4 linked regions of the Arabidopsis thaliana genome follow. The protein of the gene in region 3 interacts with the protein of the main gene of each other region in a pairwise test. Each region holds a gene or a part of one and is shown on either strand. Other genes may lie near its edges. The genes, in order: AT3G17740, AT3G01690, AT3G11590 and AT2G43370.

Evidence for each region.
Region 1: the proteins of AT3G11590 (region 3) and AT3G17740 interact in a two-hybrid assay, tested with the Arabidopsis thaliana proteins (one large-scale study listed by BioGRID).
Region 2: the proteins of AT3G11590 (region 3) and AT3G01690 interact in a two-hybrid assay, tested with the Arabidopsis thaliana proteins (one large-scale study listed by BioGRID).
Region 4: the proteins of AT3G11590 (region 3) and AT2G43370 interact in a two-hybrid assay, tested with the Arabidopsis thaliana proteins (one large-scale study listed by BioGRID).

The regions. Positions count from the first base shown.
Region 1 is NC_003074.8:6,066,770-6,074,488, forward strand, and holds AT3G17740 (uncharacterized protein), read right to left. Parts: upstream 6,088-7,719; 5' UTR 6,046-6,087; coding exon 5,573-6,045; intron 5,461-5,572; coding exon 4,692-5,460; intron 4,517-4,691; coding exon 3,901-4,516; intron 3,643-3,900; coding exon 3,113-3,642; intron 3,040-3,112; coding exon 2,929-3,039; intron 2,570-2,928; coding exon 2,212-2,569; intron 2,093-2,211; coding exon 1,867-2,092; intron 1,678-1,866; coding exon 1,456-1,677; intron 1,379-1,455; coding exon 1,234-1,378; 3' UTR 915-1,233; downstream 1-914. Other genes in the region: AT3G17750 (Protein kinase superfamily protein), read left to right, coding at 7,459-7,719.
Region 2 is NC_003074.8:254,131-259,296, forward strand, and holds AT3G01690 (alpha/beta-Hydrolases superfamily protein), read left to right. Parts: upstream 1-2,164; 5' UTR 2,165-2,622; coding exon 2,623-2,924; intron 2,925-3,188; coding exon 3,189-3,225; intron 3,226-3,326; coding exon 3,327-3,563; intron 3,564-3,657; coding exon 3,658-3,705; intron 3,706-3,787; coding exon 3,788-4,249; 3' UTR 4,250-4,566; downstream 4,567-5,166. Other genes in the region: SEOR1 (sieve element occlusion amino-terminus protein), read left to right, coding at 1-214, 354-650, 745-1,116; AGP11 (arabinogalactan protein 11), read left to right, coding at 4,851-5,166.
Region 3 is NC_003074.8:3,658,169-3,664,411, forward strand, and holds AT3G11590 (golgin family A protein), read left to right. Parts: upstream 1-2,129; 5' UTR 2,130-2,329; intron 2,330-2,428; 5' UTR 2,429-2,459; coding exon 2,460-2,942; intron 2,943-2,995; exon of another isoform or gene 2,996-3,617; coding exon 3,618-3,740; intron 3,741-4,106; coding exon 4,107-5,369; 3' UTR 5,370-5,566; downstream 5,567-6,243. Other genes in the region: AT3G11591 (bric-a-brac protein), read right to left, coding at 5,612-5,803.
Region 4 is NC_003071.7:18,011,252-18,016,234, reverse strand, and holds AT2G43370 (RNA-binding (RRM/RBD/RNP motifs) family protein), read right to left. Parts: upstream 2,968-4,983; 5' UTR 2,805-2,967; coding exon 2,657-2,804; intron 2,565-2,656; coding exon 2,467-2,564; intron 2,384-2,466; coding exon 2,332-2,383; intron 2,139-2,331; coding exon 2,068-2,138; intron 1,891-2,067; coding exon 1,800-1,890; intron 1,704-1,799; coding exon 1,628-1,703; intron 1,529-1,627; coding exon 1,450-1,528; intron 1,246-1,449; coding exon 859-1,245; 3' UTR 705-858; downstream 1-704. Other genes in the region: BIO2 (Radical SAM superfamily protein), read left to right, coding at 3,106-3,309, 3,632-3,811, 4,028-4,134, 4,413-4,618, 4,789-4,928.

The sequences.
Region 1 (7,719 bases), 2.4 Mb from region 3:
ATCTATATATATGCTCAGCTTCAACTTTGAAAATCCGCTCGACATATATATGTTTGGCGTTTACAGGTACATCTTCTAATGTGGAACTTCTCTAAATGTATCTCCTAATATGAAATTTGCAAAATGGGTCTTTAAAACCCTTGACGTGATAAAGTGACTTGTATGTTCTTCTTATCTTGTAGATATAATTTATGACAAATGTATTGTTGACTGATTCTTGAACCTCTGCGATGTTGTAGGCCTCTTAAGAATGAACGTTTTGTCTAATCAGAATCTCAAGAACGTTTGTCTCACTACAGTCCTCATCTACATGGTTTCCCCAAAATAACGTTTCGAAAGTATAACTTTGTTTTAGGCTGATTAAAATATGATACTATTAATAAAATATGATACTATTAACCCAACATTAAGAAAAAAGTTGTAAAAAATTCAAGAAAGCTCATGTACTATACATCGTCGTTTATTCAGAGCATATAAGAAATTTAAACAAAATCACCTTTCAAAGAAGGGAAAAGGTATTATAGCTGCTCTCTGTAACAAGGAGAGCAGAAATTGCTTTTAAACTTGATGTGATTCAAAAGGAACCGAGATCAAATTAGGAAGATAGACACAGTAAGAAAACTGAAAAATCCCAGAATTGATCTGAATCTTCTTGAACATATCTCCCCTCACCATATAGATGCAAGTAGCTCCAGTTTTGTAATCGCCACAACACATGATTATGGTCTTGTCAAAGATGAAGTAAGTAATACCAGAAAATTAATGGAATAGCAAGGGAAAGTCAGGTATTGACAGTGTCAGTAAGTGTAACCACACCACGTCATCCTTATTACTAATGTTAATCTTGTCCTTTGTTACCCAAATCTCTGTATTCATATACGAGTTTGCTTTAACAATGCAAATCGATCGCCCTTAAATACAGTGATGACAAGTTTATCTAGTGAGCCAGAAACACTTCTCACAAGGAGGCAAAAGAGCATCGATATTTCCGTGGAGGAATCAAAGCTTCCGAGAAAAATACTCACGAGTCTCTTGTAAGCAGTCCAATACAAATTTCCGTTCAAGGAAACATATTCACTTAAACCTGCCAACATTGGCCAATTTTGGGGAGTCAATGAACTTATCGAGTGAGACGCACACTCATAAATACTTAAATGAACTTATACTTGATTATTTATAGAAAATCACGTTTCCATATTACAACAATATTTGTTAGTTGACACTTAAATGATCTCATCCCTGCATAAGCAGAATCTCGTAGATATCTGTCCTAATGTTCAGTTCCTTGTCCCGCATCACTTCTTGTAAATCTGACATCTCTTTTGCCGTCAAGACTGATCCCAGCTTCCCAAACCCATCGAGCCATAGTTTCTTCGACCTGCCATGTCATTATGTTAAGAATTGGTTCTCAGACAATATGAGAAATCTGGAGAAAGAACTCTAGATTTTTCTTACCATGGGCATGCATTTATAGCTCGGAAATAAATCCTTCTAGCTGCTGATGGATTGTCCGCGATGTCGATCTCATATGCTATGTAGCAACGCCATAGAATAACTGAGTTGTTTTGTGTATCTTGTGCCAATGCCCTTTCAAACAATCCGCGGATTCTGTGTGATGAGCCTCCTTTACTCAATTCATAAGAAAGTGCAAATAGCCAAACAACGACAGACGAATTCCTGCATGATTAGATATACTAAACTTGCTTAGCACTGAAATGTCGATATATATAAACCTTGTTCTAGGAGGAAGGCCATAAACATGTAACTGTTAGTCTTTAACCATTTAAGCTAAGCATCTCTATCAACATTAGGCAGTACTCCTGAGATCGGAGGGTTTCTTATTAACAAGTTTGTGAAAAAGCTTACTTGCGGGAGTAGTCATCGAACATCATTCTCAGTTTATGGGATGTCATCCGGTGATTACAAATGTCCACCAAAGCTCGATAAAGTTCAGGATTGAGAGGATACAGTTGCAGTCCCTCTGATATGGGCTTCCAAAGTTGTGACAAAGTTAGATCGTCCTGGTGTCTCTGAAGCATTCTCACATAATAATTGAACAAGAGTTCAAGTTGATGACTTTGACTTTTTCTTCCTGAAAAATTCACAATAGCCCAAATTCAGATATACAGTGGATACATGCTTTTAAGAGAAATTCATATGGAAAATAGTAAGTGAACCCAAGAATACTGATCATGGAAATAAGTAAATAACCTGGAAGAACAGAACTGAACATGTGCTCTAAGATCTCAAGAGCACCAGGAAGGTCATTTGTTAACTCCTCAAATAGAGCTGCCGAACAAACAAGCGCTGCTGATTGATCATCTGTGACACCATGAGACCATGTTGATTGTATCTTCTTAAGCTTCTCTCTGAACCCCTGGCGTGCTCTAAGAATTTGCATGCTTGAAGACTGGGAAGTATAAGGACTATAAGCTAGACCACTTCCCAGGTAGCACAGAATATGCATAGCACGAGATGATGATTCTGTATCCCTACCACTGCCGCTACTATTGGCTACTTCCGATTCAGCATACCATAAACATAGCAAAGGAGTGTTACACTGTAATTCCTGCAATCATAGGTGAAATAAATTTAGCATGGCTTTTGCAATGTCATAAAAATCCAAAGAAAGCACGGAAATTGGGCTAGATATATCCACTAGGCCATGCTTCCCTGTACATTACCAAGAAGAGACTGTTCTATAACAAACTCTACTATGATCCGTCCATGAGAGAGATTATCTTGTCCAAACTCAAGTGGCAGTGCCCCAGTTTTTGGGACCAGTACGCGATAATTTGAATCAGAAATAAACACAAAACCAGGGTTACTGATCCAGAAGTTCCTTGGAATTAGAAACATACGTGGAAACCTGAAATTTTGTATCATATGCTAACAAGTAACAATATAACCAAAAGATCTGAAACTAACCTTAGGGAGGCCACAGATAGAAGTCAGTGCCATGTCGAAGACTCGCCTTGCATGTTTCATATTTCCAGAAGCAGCTTCTCTCTGTGCATAAACTCCACAAAGTAGTAGATCCTGTTCATAGAGAACGAATCAGTTCAGATAAACTGAACAAAAAAACACATCAAAAAATTGGAATGGGGCTTACCTGCCGGTCACTTTTCAGGAGACGTTTGGCCAAAGCTTGGCATGGCATAGTTGCTACCTCACATGTTTTCATATTTGTTACAAATAGTTCTTCTGCAACAAGCACAGCTTCTTCGAGAATGTAATTTCGCGGGAAAACATTTAGACAAAGCAAGATGGCATTGCGGAGAAACTTCATCATCTCAGTCCGCATAGATAAGTCACAGCTGCCACCTAGAAGAGATCCCAAGCTGAAACAGTTGGCACTATCTGATTTCGACAAACATTCATGAACACTTCTCAAGTTTTCTAACATGGAATCTGAAAATGTTTCAAGGCTACTTATTTTCTCACTCCACGACAAACTGTTGCTGGAAGTCCATGGGGAGATATGTGCACCGAAGAAATCAATGAACTGGTATACCAGAGATAAGCGGGCCTCCTTTGAACGTAAGGAAAATAGATATCCATTTATATCTTCATATAGTACAACACTTGAGAGTTGCTCTTCATCTTCTCCCTCACCCATTCCCTCAACACTGGAGAATTCACCTATTAAAGGATGATGGACGGTTAACCACATGCATGTTTACAGTCTTTTAGATAGATTACATGTCAACAATACCATCAAACATATCTATAGAGACTGGAATTTATTTACTAATGACTCTGGAATGACAAAGAAGGCTGAGCGACTAGTCCCAGTTGGACAAAATTCACCCAACAGACACATTTAGACCTTTGTAAGCTCCAAAAGAAAAGATGAACAAACAATACAGAGATAATGATGGTAAAGATAGAGATAGATACCAGCTTTCCGAGTAGGCATCCATTGACTGTGATCTCGAGAAACCTCTTCTTCAAACCATTTAACCCAAGTTGATGTATCTTTAACCTCATCACTGGCCGCAGTATTGACATCAATGCCCAATAATTTCAGCATAGCTTCGGTGTCATCTTCAGGTTTGCTATTCTCGTCTTCCATTTCCTCATCCAGACCCTTCCGATCAACATCGACCTCTCCAGTGTTAGCTGAAGCAATATCATCTCCATTTCTACCTGAGACCTGTTCTGTCCAACCTGTCCAACCACCTACTTCATTGTCATCAGAGGATTCTTCTTTCAAAATTTTCTGCCTGTTTTCCTCCTCTTTCTCCAGCCACAATAACCATCCAAAAGCTCCTTCTTCTCCAACTCTAGCACCATTACTGCTCCAAAAGTGCTCAAACAGTCGTAATTTACTCTGTTCAGTTAGCAACAAAGATGGAGAAAAGATGCTAAATTCCACTTCGGCTTGAAGTAACGCTGTGGCCAGCTCCTGGTAACCAGCCTGCCACTCAAACCTGCAGAGGCTAACTAGCATATCGACTAGAACGAGTTCCTGTTGGATGGCAGCAGAATCCAATGGTTCAGATGTTGTATCCACCTGCATAATCCAATAAATAGAATTAGACCTTACAATGTCAAACTGCTATTAATGAGAATATCAATAATGCCAGCGATTAAAGATAGTGGGGAAACACCAAACGACTTGTGACAGTAAACAGTACGTAATGAAGTGATTCATCAACCCTTATCAGTTAGCACCATAAAATAAGAACCTGCCTATGTCGCTTGCTGCAAGCAGAAGAAAGAGCCTGGATCGCATAAGAATACAGCCTCCTCACTTCTGATACTTTGAATCTGGAGAACTCCCCTTGAACAACACATAAAAACTCCCTCCATAATTTGTAGCTTGCGGAATTCTGCATAAGTGCCTTTTCCCACCTACTGATTAGTACATCAGCGTTGTCTCTGCTTCGGTATGCCTTGAGCAGAGCAAGCAACAGTTCTTCGCTATCTGGGTTCAGCTCAAAAGCCTTCTCAAGTATACTAATCTTTTTCTCTAAAGTCTGCAGGCGAACTCCTTTCTGAGATTGCATACTTGAAACCTTGTCTTGAAAATCAGCAAATGCCAGCCATGCCTTTGCATCATGGGGACGTTCTCTCGTCACTCTGTTGAACTCCCGTGTTTTATTCAGCACTTCATCCTCCCATGATGCTCCAATCATTGAGTCCTTTGATAAAACATCTTCTTCGTCACTTTCTGGAACAGTCACGTCTTCCTCCAGTGGAATGAAATTATCAAAGGAAGAATCCACAGCTTCACTTGCAGCAGATAAACGAATACGCTTGAAATTCTTGTTGCGTTCCATGGCAGCATGTTTTGCATACCAGTATCGGGTATCAGACTTTGCTCTCCCCTCCAAAGAATCAATATCAATCTCTGTGTCAAGCATAGAACTACGTCGATTCCGCAAATAAAACCTCAGAGAACCTGACCCTGGAACTCTCTGAGAATTGTCAAGTTTATAACGAGGAACATTCATCCTGTATTATGCAAACAGAAGCAAAATTTCAATATCCCTACACTCTTAAAACGCCTTGCACAGAATACAGAAAATGAAACCAACCATAACTAGACAAATTATAAGCAAAGTACCTGTAAATAGAGCCATAAGCCAGATTATCTGGATCAGGACGAGTGTCCAAGTAATAATCCTTCACAGGTTTCGAATAGTATTCATCAGATTTACGAGAACGAGATTCATCCGAAGCATTATCACTCTTCCGTTTCTTCTTTTTCTCTCGCTTCCTCTTTACCTTGTCGTCATCAGACTCCAAAGACCCTTCTTCTTCAACCAAATTATAAACCCTAGCCTGATTAGCTAAACCGATATTTCCATCAGCTCCTCCTTCTTCATCTTCGTCGTCTCCAGCCTCGACCTCGGATGAGGAAGGAGCCGTCGAAGCGGCAGCGTTGATGACAGAGAGATCCGTAGTGAAGCTAGCGTTGCGAAGCCATTGAGGAGCATTCGAAATAGCTGAGATGGAGTTCGCCGAAGTAGGGAAGACGGGGAACAAGCCGCCTGTAGTTACCTGTGCTCCGTCGCCGTCTTCTGGTGTATTCGACATTACATCCACCGGAAAAAACAAAACCGATTCTGTATTTTTTTTGTGCCGCTATATATTTCTGCCAAGGATCGTGAATACTGAATAGGCCTAATTATTGGGCCTATATAAATAATTAATGGGCTCTATTAACATTGAAAGAATTTACTCATTGTTTAATGTTCAACAACATTCGAATTTGAATTCGAAACTACATAACCGGTAAATATTTATTGATTAATTATTACGCCATATTTAATTTTACTCGTTAATTCGTTATGAAAAAGTACAGCAAAAAGTATAAAAACCACGTGCAATATTGTAAAGAATAAACTAAAATTTGTGATAAATTTAGGACAGTCTAATAAAAATTGGCAAAAGTGTCATTTTGCTTTTTTATTTCCCACCAAAACTAATGATTTTCCATGGATCCAAAGGTAAACACATTTTGGAGAAGGTAAACACATTTGTTTTGGAGAATTCCTTCAGGCGTAAATATTGCTTTTAGCGGTAAAAGAGGCTCAATCGTGGCAGGAAGCTCAATTCGAGCTCCATAGTGAAAGTCATGGTTCTTTGTCTATAGATAATCGAATTCGGGTGAGGGATGTATCACAAGATACAACTTTTTCTGGCTATCGGTGTTTTATTGATGGATCTTGGAAAGCAAGTGACCAGTTCTCAGGAACAGGATGGTTCTGTCTATCATCTCTTGGAGAGTCGCCAACCATGGGAGCCGTCAACGTTCGTAGAAGCCTATCTCCTCTACATACCGAAATGGAAGCTCTTCTTTGGGCGATGAAGTGCATGATTGGAGCAGATAACCAGAACGTAGCTTTCTTTACAGACTGTTCATGTCACGTATGTAAACAATATCCCGGATTGACTCTTTTGAGTTTTAATTTATATCGGTTGAAAAAAAAAAAAAAAAAAAGATAAACACATTTAATAAAAATAAACGAAAAAATAAAATAAAAATTGGCATTATTATTTGCGCATTGGTGGCGTTGATAATGGGATGTCCAAGGAGGAGGGAAGCGCCGGGATTGCAGCATAAGCAAATTTATTAAGACGAAGAAGAAGAAGCTCCATTAGATTTTGCAGAACAAATCAAAAGAACTTCAACAAGGAATATTGCAAGAAATTGATTGAAGCTGCTCGAATTAGATCTGTAAGTGAAAATGATTGCTCGACTTCGAATTCTGGGTTTTTTGTTTTGTTTTTTATGGGGTAATATTCATGAGAGAAGGAGAATATGCTTTTGTTAGGGTTCTGTCTAACGAATTTTCGTACTAGTCACTAAGTTGCTTAATTTTATCTTTCTGGGTTTTTGTTTGGAGGGAGGAATTATTTGAGATTCGAAGAAATAAATCATGGAGTTTCTGTTTGTGTAAATGTTTCTCAGGTTTTGTGAAAATTTGTTTCTAGAGATTTGGGGAAATGGAGGATTCGAGCTCTATCGATTCGATTTTGGAATTTTTGCGGAAGAATCATTTTATGAGAGCTGAAGCTGCGTTGATTAGTGAGCTTTCTAAGAAACCAAGTTCAAATGGGTCTCTTCAAAAGCTTAACTTTGAGGATAATTGTGTGAGCAAGTTGTTGGATAAGAAGAAGCAAGGCGGGAGTAGCCAAGCATTGGGTCTTCACAACGATAGTCACATTTCTGATGAATTGGTTGTGAAAGAGATACAATGTGGAGCT
Region 2 (5,166 bases), 3.4 Mb from region 3:
TATGAGAGGGAGATGGCATTTTATGAACAAGCCGATACTTGTGGTGATTGATCCACAAGGCAACGAGGCTAGCCTCAATGCGCTTCATATGATCTGGATTTGGGGCACTGAAGCTTTCCCTTTCACTAGATCTCGTGAGGAAGAGCTCTGGAGGAGAGAGACCTTTTCCCTTAACCTCATCGTCGACGGCATCGACTCTGTCATTTTCAACTGGGTATTTCAAAAGTCTCATCCTTTTTTCTTTTTATGATTGGCCTGGAAACTCTAGAAACAGAGCAGGCAGGGTTTGACCTAAATTACATTCATTCAAGAACGAGGCGTGATTAATGAACAATGATGGGTCTGATTTGCAGATAAAACCGGATAATTACATTTTCCTGTACGGAGGAGATGACTTGGACTGGATAAGGAGATTCACAATGGCGGCCAAAGCAACGGCCAAAGATTCCAACGTGAACCTTGAGATGGCTTACGTCGGAAAACGAAACCATAGCCACAGGGAACAGATCAGGCGTATCAGTGAAGTAATCAGGTCTGAAAACCTGAGCCATAGCTGGGCCGAACCTGCCTTGATGTGGTTCTTCTGGACTAGGCTCGAGAGCATGTTGTACTCCAAGATTCAACTCGGTAAAGCCGATGATCACGACGATGTAAGAGTTGACTAGCTAGGGTTTTCAATTATTTCGGTTCGGTTCGGTTCAATTGGTTAATGAATGATTTTGTGTGTTTGAAAACGTTGATTAGGTGATGCAAGGAATCAAAAAGATACTAAGCTACGACAAGCTTGGAGGATGGGCACTACTGAGCAAAGGACCTGAGATAGTGATGATCGCTCACGGTGCCATAGAGAGGACTATGAGTGTTTACGACCGGACCTGGAAAACCCACGTCCCGACCAAAGGCTACACCAAAGCAATGTCCGACCACCACCACGATGAGGTCCTCCGTGAAACCGGAAAACCTTGCGGCCACTTTGATTTCCACATCACTGCTCGGAGCGGTCGGATTCCGGAGAAGATGAATTGCTTCGAGTGTCAGCGTCCGATGGAGAAGTACATGAGCTTCTCTTGTTGTCACGATGAAAAGCTCCACGAAGACGAGAACTACAACTTCTAAATGATGCAATAAGCTCACGTCTCTTCCCGCTGCTTTTTCTTTTTGTTTTACGTAATTTGAATTCTCTATATAGTTTTTCATAAATAATTTCTGAATTTCAATATCTTTGTATGAGAGAGAATTGGTCATTCCATGTGTGTGGTTTGGCCTTTGTGGGACATGTTCGATTGAAGTATTCCTAATAATTTTCAATAATTAACAATTTCTTCTCTTAATAGCATAGATAAATGTTGAATTTATTTTGTTAATAAAATTAACCCTGATGAATACAACAATTTTGAATATGTCAAATTAGACCAATTCAAAATATAACTATTTGCTTTCTTTCTTCTCATAATGTTTATATATCCCACTTTAGTAAATGGACCCCCACGAAGCACACCACAGCATACTCTTTTTTATTCTTTCCAGTTTCTAATGGTTTACTTATATACTCTTATCATTTTCTAATTGATCAATTTGTCATTTATTGGCTTATCTTCTTATAAATGTTTTTTGTGTTAGTTGTTGATATCTCATTTTCTTGTCCAGTGAATTATAGCATTTCAATGTGTCCCTCATGTCGTCAATATAATGTTTTATTTTCCTTGTTATGATCCATATCTTCATGTGTGGTCCATCTTCAAATAAAGAATGGATTGTTACTACTCTTATCGTTTGGGCTAGTTTTTATAATTAGACACAAAATTTGTAACTTTCATTCTTTTTTTAGTATTTAACACAAAGTAATTTGATGGATTAGTCTAAATAATAAAGGCAAAAAGTTAAGTAAATGTCAAAAGAGATATGGCATATGTCTAATCATAACCAATGAATTGCATGGTTCTATCTAAATAGCAACCATATCATCCCACATGCCATTGTCCACCTTGTCTATCTTAGGAAAACACTTTGTTTGTAACTCTATTGTACTCTTTGAATTATGAAATCTATGTAAACCCTTCTTATTGTGGGGGACAAAGGCTAATTTTAATGGTCTGTCCACTTCTGCTTGACTTTGATACATAAATTAGGGGTGGCTCATGTCATATCTATGAGAATTAGGTACAAAAGAGTTTTCAAATGAGCAAGTTGTATTTTTATTCGATTAGCCGTCGTATTATGTCAAATATAAGTTAAAAATATGTAAAAGTACAAAATGTAGATTATGATATTAGGGATGAATTGAGATAAAATTACCTATAATTTATTACTACGCATAATAAATAATTTGTTACGTTAATTCTCATAGATACGTTATAGCCAATACCGAACCCCTATTTAAGTCAAAAGTACTTCTAAGTATTTTTTAGCGTAAATCAATTTTTATGAAAAGCAACAATTAAGATTAATGTAGTAATCTAGTAATCGTTAAAAAAGCCACTTTGTTAGTATTGCTTAATACTCTCTCTCTCTCTCTGTTCCCAAGGAGATGAAAAGCTTCAATCTCAAAACATAGCAGCTCTCTCAATAAACCAAACCCAAATGCAAGCTGTGTAGAGAGAAACGGAGTGAGGAAGGAAGGAGATGGGAGGGGTGACGTCATCGGTGGCGGCGAAGTTTGCCTTCTTCCCGCCGAGTCCACCGTCTTACAAGGTGGTGACCGACGAGCTCACCGGACTGTTGCTTCTCAGCCCTTTCCCCCACCGCGAAAACGTAGAAATCGTAAAGCTTCGGACCAGGAGAGGCACAGAGATCGTGGGCATGTACGTGAGGCATCCGATGGCTACCTCCACGCTCCTCTACTCCCATGGCAACGCCGCCGATCTGGGACAGATGTATGAGCTCTTCATTGAGCTTAGCATCCATCTCAAGGTTAATCTTATGGGGTCTGTTTTTCTTTCTCTCCCTTTGTAATTCGATTGATTTTATTATTATGATGCTGATTTAAAAATGTTATCTTTGTATGCTTCTTTTGATTGATTTGGTATAGGATTTGCCCTGTTTTGATTCTCACGTTTCTAGCTCTGTTTCTAGTATTTGCTCTGTTTATGTTTGGAGTGTTTATTCACCACCCCAATAAAAAAGGAAACTTGGGCTAGGATCTGCTTGGAATCAATCAGTCTTTGATATTATTGGTTGTGATGTTGCAGATACGATTACTCCGGGTATGGACAATCTACTGGAAAGGTTTGTCCTTTACCCCATCAATCTGATTGGTCTGATGATCCATTATGAGTTTTAGGACCAACTCTCAAAAATCTTTCTTTCTCTTAAATGATTGATTGTAGCCGAGTGAGCATAACACGTATGCTGATATCGAAGCTGTTTATAAGTGTCTTGAAGAAACCTTTGGCTCTAAGCAGGAAGGTGTCATCCTCTACGGCCAATCTGTAGGCAGCGGACCTACGTTAGATCTTGCTTCCCGGTTGCCTCAACTTAGAGCCGTCGTCCTTCACAGCCCCATTCTCTCCGGTTTAAGAGTTATGTATTCCGTCAAGAAAACCTACTGGTTCGACATCTACAAGGTAGACCACGTACCAATTCTTTCTATTAATCCTACACATTCTCCAAATTGTAATGTAAGAAGCTTGTTGTGTGTGAGTGTGTGTTTTTCCGCAGAATATCGACAAAATCCCATATGTCGATTGCCCGGTTCTCATCATTCATGTAAGTCAGGTTTCAGATAGATACATTTTCGTTTGAATTTTTGATAAGCTTTTTGGATCCAAACAGTTTCAAATATGTGCAGGGAACTTCGGATGAGGTAGTGGATTGTTCTCATGGGAAACAACTATGGGAACTCTGCAAAGACAAGTACGAGCCGCTCTGGGTGAAAGGAGGGAACCACTGTGATCTTGAACACTACCCTGAATACATTAGACACCTCAAGAAGTTCATAGCAACAGTAGAGAGATTACCATGTCCGAGGATGAGCAGCGACCAATCAGAGAGAGTGAGAGATGCGCCCCCGAGGAGAAGTATGGACAGGAGAGTGAAGCCGAGGCAGAGCACAGAGCGTAGAGAGAAAGAGAAGCCACCAAAGAGTCAGTCGAAGATGAGTAGCAGCAGCAGCAAGCTCAAGATCTCGTTTGATCAACTTGATCGCTCGCGGAGGAGCGTTGACTGCCATGAAAAGACTCGGAAGAGCGTTGACCAGATTGAGAGGGGGAGGAAGAGTGTGGATAGGTTGGATAGAGTTCGCTCCGAGTAAAAACCACACACTCACACTCACACACGTATAATACGTATGTAGATGAAAAGAGTACATAACTGTTTCTATTTACCGAACAAAATAACATGTGGATGTCGCTCCTCATATTATTGATTTGTAATCTTTTATGCAATTTGGGATCTCTCTCGCCATCTCCTTTTGAATCAACAACCTTTTGTGGTGGGCTTGAATATCCATCCTCTGTTTTTAGATGAGTTTTTAGTGTTTGTGGTAAGTAGGAAAGTTCCAAAACAAAGATCACACATCTCATGTGGGCCTGAACTAAATTCATGGCCCAATCGTTTGTTCTTAATAGAAATCCAATTTTTAGGATCTCGCTATCTTTTGCTACGTACAAAAATTAATATATACAAAAAGTAGCTCACTTCTAAAATAAGGCTAATGGATGCCCATTTTCTTCTCAAATCCATCGATTTTCCTAAAATTTCTCAAATTTCAAAACATATAAATCCATCTCATTGTCCTCTTGTTTTCCTTCATCTGAAGCTTCTGCAGTATTCAAACAAATAAAATATACTGCTTTAGCTTTGGACACCTCCTCTTACTAATCTCTATAACTATATTTAAAAAGTAGAAAATAATGGCACGTCTATTTGTCGTAGTTGCCCTTTTGGCTTTGGCCGTGGGCACCGTATTCGCCGCCGATGCACCTTCAGCTGCACCCACCGCCTCACCAACCAAATCCCCAACCAAGGCTCCTGCCGCTGCACCCAAATCCTCCGCCGCCGCACCGAAAGCATCATCCCCTGTTGCTGAGGAACCCACCCCTGAAGACGACTACTCTGCAGCCAGCCCCAGTGACTCCGCCGAGGCACCCACCGTCTCCTCCCCACCCGCTCCTACCCCCGAAGCCGATGGTCCCTCCTCCGACGGACCCTCATCTGATGGACCCGCCG
Region 3 (6,243 bases):
ACGCTTTGGATTTTCTTCTTCTTTTTTTTTTCTCTCTCTTTTCTTTTTTAATACTACTTATTTTTCTATAAATTTGTATATCTAGCTATAAAGGTAATAGAAAATGGTAAGTTATTTTTTCCTTCCGGTACAAAAGATGAAAACATGCAATAGTCGGCAAAGGTCCACACTCCACACATTTGTCTGCACATCTATCCAATATTCATTCATAGGTTCAACCACAACTTTATCTACTACATATATATTTTTTATTTTATTGAACGAATTTATATTCGTTTTCCATTTCTGTCATATATCATAGTAGATGTTGATAGTTGGGTAATGGAGCAAGTGAAAGATTGATGGTTGGTAGACCATAGATTCATGCATTCATACCATAAGGTATACTGATGGTGATTGGGTAAATTTTTGAGTCAGCTATTACAATTGAAAAGTTCATCAAATGACAAAACTATTACAACTTAGATCTTTGACAGCCAAAAGAAAAAAAAAAAAAAAAGAGAAAAAAAAAACTAAATTGTTGTTAGAAATTAGAAGTCAGAAGTAAGAAGACTCCCATAGGAATACAGTTCTGGCAACCAATTTCTTAGTTCTTTATTGGGCATTCATATCTTAGTTGGGCCTGACTCATATATATTTTGAACTTTTTGTACGCAATTGTATCTAACACTATAGTCTTACATTGTTCATATATTTAATGTTTTATATTGATTGCTACCTATATATTTTGATATGATGTAGATCCAACTATTTCTAGGTTGAATTGTCTTTTCGAACAGATTTTGTTTCCGGATTCACCATAAAAAAAAAAAAAAACTTATGTGACAGAAAGTACTATAGAAAGAATCGTGTTTACAACAATAAAGAGACTTGACCCAAACAAAAAACGTTTACAACAATAAAGAGTTGAACAATAATACGGTACGATTGTGTATGTTGAATCATCTCCTCCACTTGGACGTGTCCATTTGACAACGGAAAAAAGTGTGGCCGTGTTATCTTTCTTTGTAACGTTTACAGTTTCAATTGTTTAGTTTGATCAAATAATTAACTTGTGAATTTTATGGATGCAATATCTTGAAAACTAGGAAATCATATCTGATCATCCTGCTATAAAAAAAATAATACATGCATTTTAATATTCATGGTTTCACATGAATACTTCGGTCATCCATTTTTCAATTACACGAGTGTAAATCTGTAATATCAATATTCATTTATAATTATAACGGGTTGTGATTTGTGAAATTGTGGGTATAGATAAAACTTCAAAACCTATTGAAATGAATATCTATATACTTGGAATAGTAGTAGACACATTTTGTAATGAGTAACTTAAGCACACCGGTTCTCACTCACACTCGTCTAATGGAGAAAAATGGTATATTATATACCTCATATAGGAACATGATCATATGATTTAGGAGTCATAAGCATGAGATTAACAAGATATTTTGGTCCACATTAGGAATCTACTAAAGGAACTATTTTCTTATAACCTAAAAATCTTGGTTTGGTAAAAAGAACAACCTTAGATTATTTGGTCTTTTATCGATTCATGTAATTGTGTATCAAATGATTAAAATCTAATGCATCCTACTCAAACACGTCATTTAAGAAACCCTATATAGTACAAACACGATCCAATCTCCAAATTAACCCATAGTATATCATAGACGAGCATAATATTTTTGGTCAAATATAAAATTAGATGCACTAGTTCCCTTTATTTAGGCAGATGGACTTTCTTCTAATCGAAAATAATTGTTCTCAATGAGCCGTCAAACTTTGTGAAATATGGATATAAATTCATGACATCTACATAATTTTTGGTTTAACATGTGAAATTGAACTTAGGATCTATTTCATTCGAATTCTTACCATATACTAACCAAATATAAATAATGTTTACTGCTAAATACTATTTATATAAGTTTGTTCTTCACTAAAGAAATTTGTTGATTAGTTTGTTTTTCTAATTGAGAATCTCTTATTTCAGGACCGATAAAAAGGAAGTGATTTCCGGTTTTCGATTCAATTATTTCGGTTTAAGTCGGTTTACAAATCATCCACCCTGTAAATCACGGAGCAACATCCATAATCCATACAGATCAAACCACGTGGACATGTTACAGTGTTCCTTATCACAGAAGATGAGTACTCCTGTCATCTTTCCCCTTTTCACTTTAACATAACACTCTGTACACTAGTCTGATCAAAAAACCTCAAAACACAGCAACCGCCATTTCTTTCCAAATTCCCCCAATTCCCATTCCAACTTTATCTTCTGAAGTAGAAGAAGAAGCCATAGAAATGCTTTGAAGTTTCTGTAAGTGTTCTTACTCACTCTAAAAACTTCAATTTTGGTCTTTGTGCTTTTTTCTAACAGATCGGTGAAATTTTCTGAATCTGCTTTTTGTTTTTCCAGGTAAAGAGAAAGATCTACAATTGTTTTGAATATGCCGAGGCAGAATCAAAGCGTAGAGAATCTACTTCTACTTGGCAAAATCAGGAAACGTGGTTGTTCTTCGCCGACATCGTCGACTTCTTCGATTCTCCGTGAAGGTTATAGATTCAAAAGAGCGATAGTTGTTGGTAAAAGAGGAGGATCCACTACTCCTGTACCTACATGGAGACTTATGGGTCGATCTCCTTCTCCACGAGCTTCCGGTGCTTTACACGCTGCTGCTTCTCCGTCGTCTCACTGCGGGAGCAAAACCGGTAAAGTATCAGCTCCTGCTCCTGTTTCAGCTAGGAAGTTAGCTGCGACGCTTTGGGAGATGAACGAGATGCCTTCACCTAGAGTTGTGGAGGAGGCTGCGCCAATGATTAGAAAGAGTAGAAAGGAGAGAATCGCGCCGCTTCCTCCGCCGAGATCATCGGTTCATTCTGGTTCTCTACCGCCTCATCTTTCTGATCCGTCGCATAGTCCAGTCTCTGAGGTAAAATGCTTTGGTTATGATTGGTTGAGAGGAAGAGAATGTGCTGTAATTCCAACTTCTTGCTGGCTGCCATGTGCTTTAATTCTGACCGATCAAAAGAGAGAGAGAAAAACAATAATATATATAGTATAGTATTGATTGATTCGGGGAAGTTATAAAGATCTCATCTTTAACTGATAAAATTGATAATCTTTGTGTGATTCTAAGGTCTGAATTTAGTCAAAGTTGTGATTTTTTTGGCAACCTCTATGAGTATTTTAATCATCAAGGGAGATTATTATTCGTATAAGCTTCTGGTTGATGTTAAGGAGTGGGATTAGAGAAGAATAGAAAACTGTTTTGATCTTAAGAATCTTTTGTCATGTGCTCTATAACGCACATTTATGTTTATATGAAAGGGCGTTTCTTTATAAGTTGGTGCCTATTATTCTTGCATAATTGGGCACTTCTACTAGTTTTTATTCTTTCTCATTCGTTGGTCATATGGAGGTAGCTGGTTGTTTTTTAGAGGTTGATTTATTGTGAATAATGTAGGCCTAGATTCTCTTATAATGGAGACCTAAGAAAAATTATATATAATGCTAAATCTGGCAATGGACAATGCGAAGAATTCTGCTTTCTTTACTTCTGTGTGTTAGGTAATTGGATAGCTGAGAAACTTGTTGATTTTTGTAGAGGATGGAAAGATCAGGGACTGGGAGTCGCCAGAGAAGAGCTTCATCAACTGTGCAAAAGCTTAGGCTTGGAGACTGCAATGTGGGGGCTAGGGATCCTATTAACAGTGGCAGCTTCATGGATGTAAGTTGATTTTTTTATTTTTTTTTCACTCTTGGGGATGTTTCTTTGAGCATTATGAGGAACCCTTTCTTCTAGCAGTTTTCATAATTTTCTCAAACCAAATTTGGTATTTGATTAAGGATGAAAGTAGTATATTATTGAGCATTATTGGCTCCAGAGGCTGTTGGTTTTTTTACTTTGGAAGCATACGTACACATAATCTATGGTTTGTTTTGTTATGCACAGAAACATTGCAAATAACGGTATAAGAAACTAGGAGACACTCAATCCGTTATGATTAGTTAATTTGCCTCCATCATCTATAAATCAATATGTGTGCAAGAGAGTGATGTTCAAAAATATTTGAAATGTGTTTTTCCAATGCAGATTGAGACTCGATCACGGGTGGAGACACCGACTGGGTCAACTGTGGGTGTCAAAACACGGTTGAAGGATTGTAGTAACGCTCTCACAACATCAAAAGAGCTTCTCAAAATCATTAACAGAATGTGGGGTCAAGACGACCGCCCATCTTCTAGCATGTCCCTCGTCTCTGCTTTACATTCTGAGCTCGAAAGAGCTCGCTTACAGGTCAATCAGTTAATCCACGAACATAAACCGGAAAACAACGACATTAGCTACTTGATGAAGCGTTTTGCCGAAGAGAAAGCTGTGTGGAAAAGCAACGAGCAAGAAGTTGTTGAGGCTGCAATCGAATCTGTTGCTGGTGAGCTAGAAGTGGAGAGGAAGCTGAGGAGACGGTTTGAGAGCTTGAACAAGAAATTGGGCAAAGAATTGGCTGAAACAAAATCAGCTCTGATGAAAGCAGTTAAAGAAATCGAGAACGAGAAGCGAGCGAGAGTGATGGTTGAGAAAGTTTGTGATGAACTAGCAAGAGACATAAGCGAAGACAAAGCCGAAGTTGAAGAACTGAAGAGAGAATCTTTTAAAGTCAAAGAAGAAGTCGAAAAGGAAAGAGAGATGTTGCAGTTAGCAGATGCATTGCGGGAAGAGAGAGTACAGATGAAACTATCGGAGGCTAAACACCAGCTCGAGGAGAAAAACGCAGCTGTTGATAAGCTAAGAAACCAGCTTCAAACTTACCTCAAAGCAAAAAGATGTAAAGAGAAGACCCGTGAACCACCTCAAACTCAGCTACATAACGAAGAGGCTGGAGATTATTTAAACCATCACATCAGTTTTGGATCATATAACATCGAAGATGGAGAAGTCGAGAATGGAAATGAAGAAGGTTCAGGCGAAAGCGACCTTCATTCCATAGAACTGAACATAGACAACAAGAGCTATAAATGGCCTTATGGTGAAGAGAACAGAGGAAGAAAATCAACGCCAAGGAAAAGCCTTTCTTTACAAAGAAGCATATCGGATTGTGTTGATTGGGTTGTACAGAGCGAGAAGCTTCAAAAAAGTGGAGATGGAGGGTTGGATTGGGGAAGATCTATTGACGTTGAGCCTAAAGGGTATATAGATGAAACACAAGCTTATAAACCAAACAAGGCTTCTTCAAAAGATCACCATATCCTCTCGGGTTCGAGACTAAGTAACTTCCGCGGTGGATCTGTTTCAAAGTCGCGGTTATCGGATGCTTCGAAAGGCGAGAACCAGAATGCCAGAAAATCAAGATGGTAATATGATCAAGAAATTTTATTCACATTTTCAGCGCAGAGATAACAGAATCTAAAGACTTTACATCTACATTTTTTCTCTGTTCGCTCGTTTTGTCAAGAGTGATTCTCTCATCTGTAAGTGACATAAAACATGAATTTGAACTGGTAATGATCCAAACATGTAAGAGCATGAATTTACACGAAATCGTCTTTTGATTTATATCATTTAAGAGTTAGAACGCCTACAAGATCGAAAAAAAGACACTAATCGTCGAGCCATTTCCTGATTCGATCCTTGACGAAATCATTACGAGCTTTGACGCGAGCTTGTTGCGGTGAGATGTTGGCGAGTGAGAGATACGCTCCGGCGACGAAGAGAGAAACGCCCGCCGCGAAAAAACCCACCGACACTACTAACTGCCGCCGTGTCGGCGGATACGACATAAAAAACACCATCTTATCGTTTACCGCCGTCTGTTGCAAAAGCTGTTTAATACTAACTGTTAATGGGCCGGGGTTTTTTATTTTATTTTGGGCTTTATTTTTAATCTCCAATTTCTCAACAAATTAAAAAAAAAGAGTATTAAAAAAAAGGAATGAAGATTAAACCGAGAAGGCGAGAACTTTTTTTTTTTTTGTTATTGGTTATTTAATATTATAAACAATGGTTTAATGGATTATTTTCGAATTTAGATCCATACAAAATTTGAAAAGAGCCCAATCAACTATACCAAACCGAACCAAGCTCTTAAATCAAAATCGACCCGAGCTAATAAACTGACTAAACCGATCTACTATGAAGCCCTAATCTTCAATCGGAAAATCCAAAAAAGCCGCCGGCCAACAGATCTGCGAATATTCTTCGGAATAGGACTTCCGACGAGTCTGGACAATGC
Region 4 (4,983 bases), on a different chromosome or scaffold from region 3:
TCATAAAGAATTTGCAGAGGATATATGCGAAAAGAATATGTCCTGCAATCTCTTTCTTGTGATCACAAATACCTGCAGCAAGAACAAAAAATTGAGGCCGGAAATTAAGAGATACACCATATTTTCTGATCAGCTAGGAAGATGGGATATCCCTGTTTCGGATAATTTGACTTTTATTCCACTTGCATGCAACGAGTACGAGAATGACATTGTCTCTAGTCAATCTGAGGCGACTCTCTATCCTCCTAATAGACAATTCATGAGAGGTACAAATACAATCAAATCAAAGTGAGTTTGAATAAACAAAACAAGAATCTGAAACCAAGTTTCAATTCTGTCTGTTGATACAACAACTATCTAGTATCTACACAGACAAACTAAATCTCTATTTCAACATCAAATGTGAGTTTTTATATTCGAACAAATTCAATACAAAACAAAATATAAGATAATAATAGTTCATTAGTTCTAAAAAAAGAAATATAAGATAAACTACAGAAACAAATCCAACTGTAATGTCATAGTTCATAAAAATAATAATATTTGATGAACTATTTTATCCATTTAGATAAATTACAAATTGCATCATCCCAAATTTTTTTATATCTTAACAATCAAATCTATACGGCCATAATTTAAGATATAAAGACAATTCACTCATGTTAATTGCAAAACAAATATCTTGTTTGTAACTAAAAAAAAAAGACAATTTCTGTTTTGCTATATTTGATTAACATACACTACACTTTTTTTTTCTTTGGTTCAAAAGGCACTCTTAAAAGTCTCTAACACCAAATATTATTAAAAAAAAATCTGTAACACCAAATATTATTGTTATTTTTTTTACAATATGATTACTTAGTCGGAAGAATGATGATCTTGACTATAGGACCTCCTATGATGATGGGAAGGCAAGTGTTTATGACGTTTGCGAGATCGGTCTTCTTCAGAACGTTTTGATCTTTTGCTGCCAGAAACTTCACCCTTGTTGTCACCATATCGATCTTCCATACCTCGTGCTCTCTCTTTTCTATCAGAACGGGACTCTTCCCTGGAACACTCCTCTCTGTCTTTGCTGCGTCTTCTATGAGAACTGTGTGTGTGTGCGCTCGACCTGTGACTGTGATATGACCTAAGGCTGCTTCGCTCTTTAAACTCTTCTTCCCGTTCTACAGAACTCTTTTCCCGATAATATTCTTCCTCTCTATCCGACACACTTCCTTTTCTCCTTGGAGGTGATGGGATCTGCATCCAACAAGTAAGTTGTGGTACCAAGATTTTAGTTTACAAACTATCAGCTTTCCACTAGACACATTGAACAACCCATTTAATATATTATTTCTAGCAGAAGAACATTAACAAATGACCCAATAAGATAGCACCAGAGACAGAACAGGGGTAAAGTTCAAATGACTATAGAGTGGTGGTGAAGTTCAAGACATGGTAGACCTGTGTGCGCGACATATATCTTCCCTCAGGCGGAAGCTGAATACCGAGCTTTTTCAAATCTTCATGAGGGATTGGTCGTCTGATATTAACAAATAGAAAGAATGCCCATTTCATGACCACTATGTTTAGCTGGTGTTATCTCTGGACATGCTAAAGGAAGAGTAAAGCAAAACCATACAAGGGAGCACGGAATGGTCTATCTCGTCCTCCAAAGCGAAGTTGTCCGGATTCTTTCCTACCACCAAGGCCACCTCCTGTTAAGAGAGAAATAGATTTCATCTGTAAGGGATGAAAATATAACGCCTATGACATTTCATTACAGACAAAAATAAAGGTAAAGAATGGCAAACCTAGTCTTCTTGGTATCCATCCAGGCATCAATTGCTGTCTATTATAATCAACAATAATCTCTCGCCCATCTATTAGTGAATGATGAGCATCCTGCTAAAGAAACACCAAAAAAATTCTCACTCTGATAAACAAACTCCACTAGTTTCCAGTAATTACACGGAGATGTTAATGAAACAATCACATTGCGGTGCCTTAGTAAGTGGTTCAGACAGCTTTCAACAACAAAAACAAGAGGTAAAAAGAAAATGCAATTTAGTATCACAGCACCTCATAAGCACGAAGCATCTCCTTTTCAGTCTCATACTCCACAAAACCATATCCTCGTGAAGCTCCCGTCACTAAAAAAAGGTAACAAGAAGAGGAGACTCAATACTACACAATGTGGAACTTAGAGGAAATATGTAATCACAGTTCTGCTTAGACAAATATCTTGGTAGAAAGTAACAAACCATCAGAAATAGAAAGATGATAAATTTCCTAAAGATAAAGCAAAGTGTTGATGTCATAAGTAGAGCAATTGCAAAATCTTACCAATGTGTCTTACCAAGCGCAAGTTCTTAATCCTGCCATACTTACTCATCACCTACGAAGAAGAAACTTTTATAATCATATTCAAAACATAGTCTACACGAAAATCAAAAACTAAGTGAAATTTCAATCATTAACCTCTCGAAGTGTATCCTCCGTAGTGTGATGAGAGAGACGACCCACGAAGAGAGTACAGTAAGGATCTCCAACAGCCTTCGAATCACCAGAAGGATCATCTTTCAAAACAACCCAAATCAATGTATTTGAATTCAGAAACCAAACGATAAAAGTGAAAAGAGGAGCAGAGAGAACGAGAGAGTATACATACATAAGCCAGCGTTATAACAGAGAAGAGCTCGACGGACGCCGTTATCATGTGGAGCAACATCAGTTCCGTCGATACTTCCGGCTTGAATCGGATGATACGACGTCGCGTAGAACACTTTGTTCACGACGTTGTTTCCTCCGCCGCTCATTTCTTCTCCCCCGACTCTCTCTCTCTCACGGCGGCTCCGGCTGTTTAAGGAAATAAAGAATAACGTCGTCGTTTGAATTGATTACTATTAAAAAGCCCAACATATAAATTGGGCTTATTACAGCCCAGTTAAAGATATATGATATTCTCGTAGGTCCCACACGAAGGCGGAAACTCCAACGGTGGCTGCTTTGGGTTAGGTGAATCACTCACTGAAGAGTGAAAAGCTCTAGCACAAACCAAACACCAAATCTCATTTCTTCTTCTTCTTCTTTTTCCACATTTTCTGATTAGCAGATCAAATGATGCTTGTTCGATCTGTATTTCGATCTCAGTTGCGACCCTCTGTCTCGGGTGGTCTGCAATCTGCTTCTTGCTATTCTTCATTATCTGCTGCTTCAGCTGAAGCTGAGAGGACTATCAGAGAAGGTCCCAGAAACGATTGGAGTAGAGATGAAATCAAGTCTGTTTATGATTCTCCTCTTCTTGACCTCCTCTTCCATGGAGTAATTTACCCTTCTTCTTCTCTCTCTCTCTCTCTCTCTCTCTCTCTCACTTACTCTTCTCTTTGTTGTTCTAGCTACTCTAAATCACAAATTTGAAGTAGAAAGCTTTGGGTTTCTGTTAAATTATTGGTGGAAAGTATCGATTTTTAGTTTAACCCAGAACATGTTTGTTCTCTTTGAAACATTTGTCTTAATTTCCCGGATTTTAGTGTCTTTGTAATGTCTATTGAGCTAGGTATTATTCATTTGGTTGCTCATCTGATCTCGTTATCAGTTGTCTTTTACTTGAATAACGATGGTGTGTGGACTCTTTGGGTTTCAGGCTCAGGTTCATAGACATGTTCATAACTTCAGGGAGGTACAACAATGTACCCTCCTCTCCATAAAGACTGGTGGCTGTAGTGAAGACTGTTCATATTGTCCTCAGTCTTCGAGATATAGCACTGGAGTTAAGGCACAAAGACTCATGTCTAAGGACGCTGTCATTGATGCTGCTAAGAAGGTTTGCACTTTTCTTGTGAATGTTTATTTTTGCTGAATGTAGAATCCTTAGCAGAATGTATCAAGAAGAAGGGGACATGCATTACTATGTACCAAAACGTTGTTTTTATCAATCCGAGCTCTATCTCTATCCAAAAGACTCTAATTGTTTAATGAAGCATTTTGACGATGTAATGAGCTCTTCTGATTTGAATTAACAAATTTGATGTGTTGTTAGGCAAAAGAAGCTGGGAGCACACGTTTTTGCATGGGTGCTGCTTGGCGAGATACAATTGGACGGAAAACCAACTTCAGCCAGATTCTTGAATACATCAAAGAAATAAGGTACCTTACTATTATGCTTTTTAAGTTGAACTTTGAATTTCCTTGTTTATACTACATTATATGATCCCTTTTTCAGCTGCTTCTGAATCTAAGCTAACTTAAAAGATAACCCACCGAACCGATCATTAATGGTTCTAGAATGAACATTTTTGCATGTCAAACTAAAGTGAAAATTTCAAAGTGTACTTGATGTATCCGTGAGCAGAATGAATATGATGTTGATGATGGTGTCTGGCTGAATGTGTTTACTAACTTTCTGGGCTCTCACTTTAAAACAGAGGCATGGGGATGGAAGTTTGCTGCACCTTAGGCATGATTGAGAAACAACAAGCACTAGAGCTAAAGAAGGCTGGCCTCACTGCTTATAACCACAATCTTGATACTTCAAGAGAGTACTACCCAAACGTCATCACTACTAGAAGTTATGACGATCGCCTTGAAACTCTTAGCCATGTTCGTGATGCTGGAATCAACGTTTGTTCAGGTAACTTTGATATGAAAATAGTATTCTTGTATGCCTCAATTCTATAGAACTAAAGGATTGAAACCTGTCTTCAGCTTGGTCATTAGACTCACAGTTTTGTAATATTCGTTGATTTTGATAAATCCATAGATACGACATGTTCTCAAGTGTTTTCTTTTACCGATAAACAGGAGGAATCATAGGGCTTGGTGAGGCAGAGGAAGACAGAATAGGTTTATTACACACGCTGGCAACACTTCCTTCTCACCCTGAGAGTGTTCCCATTAATGCTCTACTTGCAGTGAAAGGCACTCCTCTTGAAGACCAGAAGGTATATCTCCACAATCTAAAATCACAAATTGCAAGTCATAGCAGCTACTTAGTAG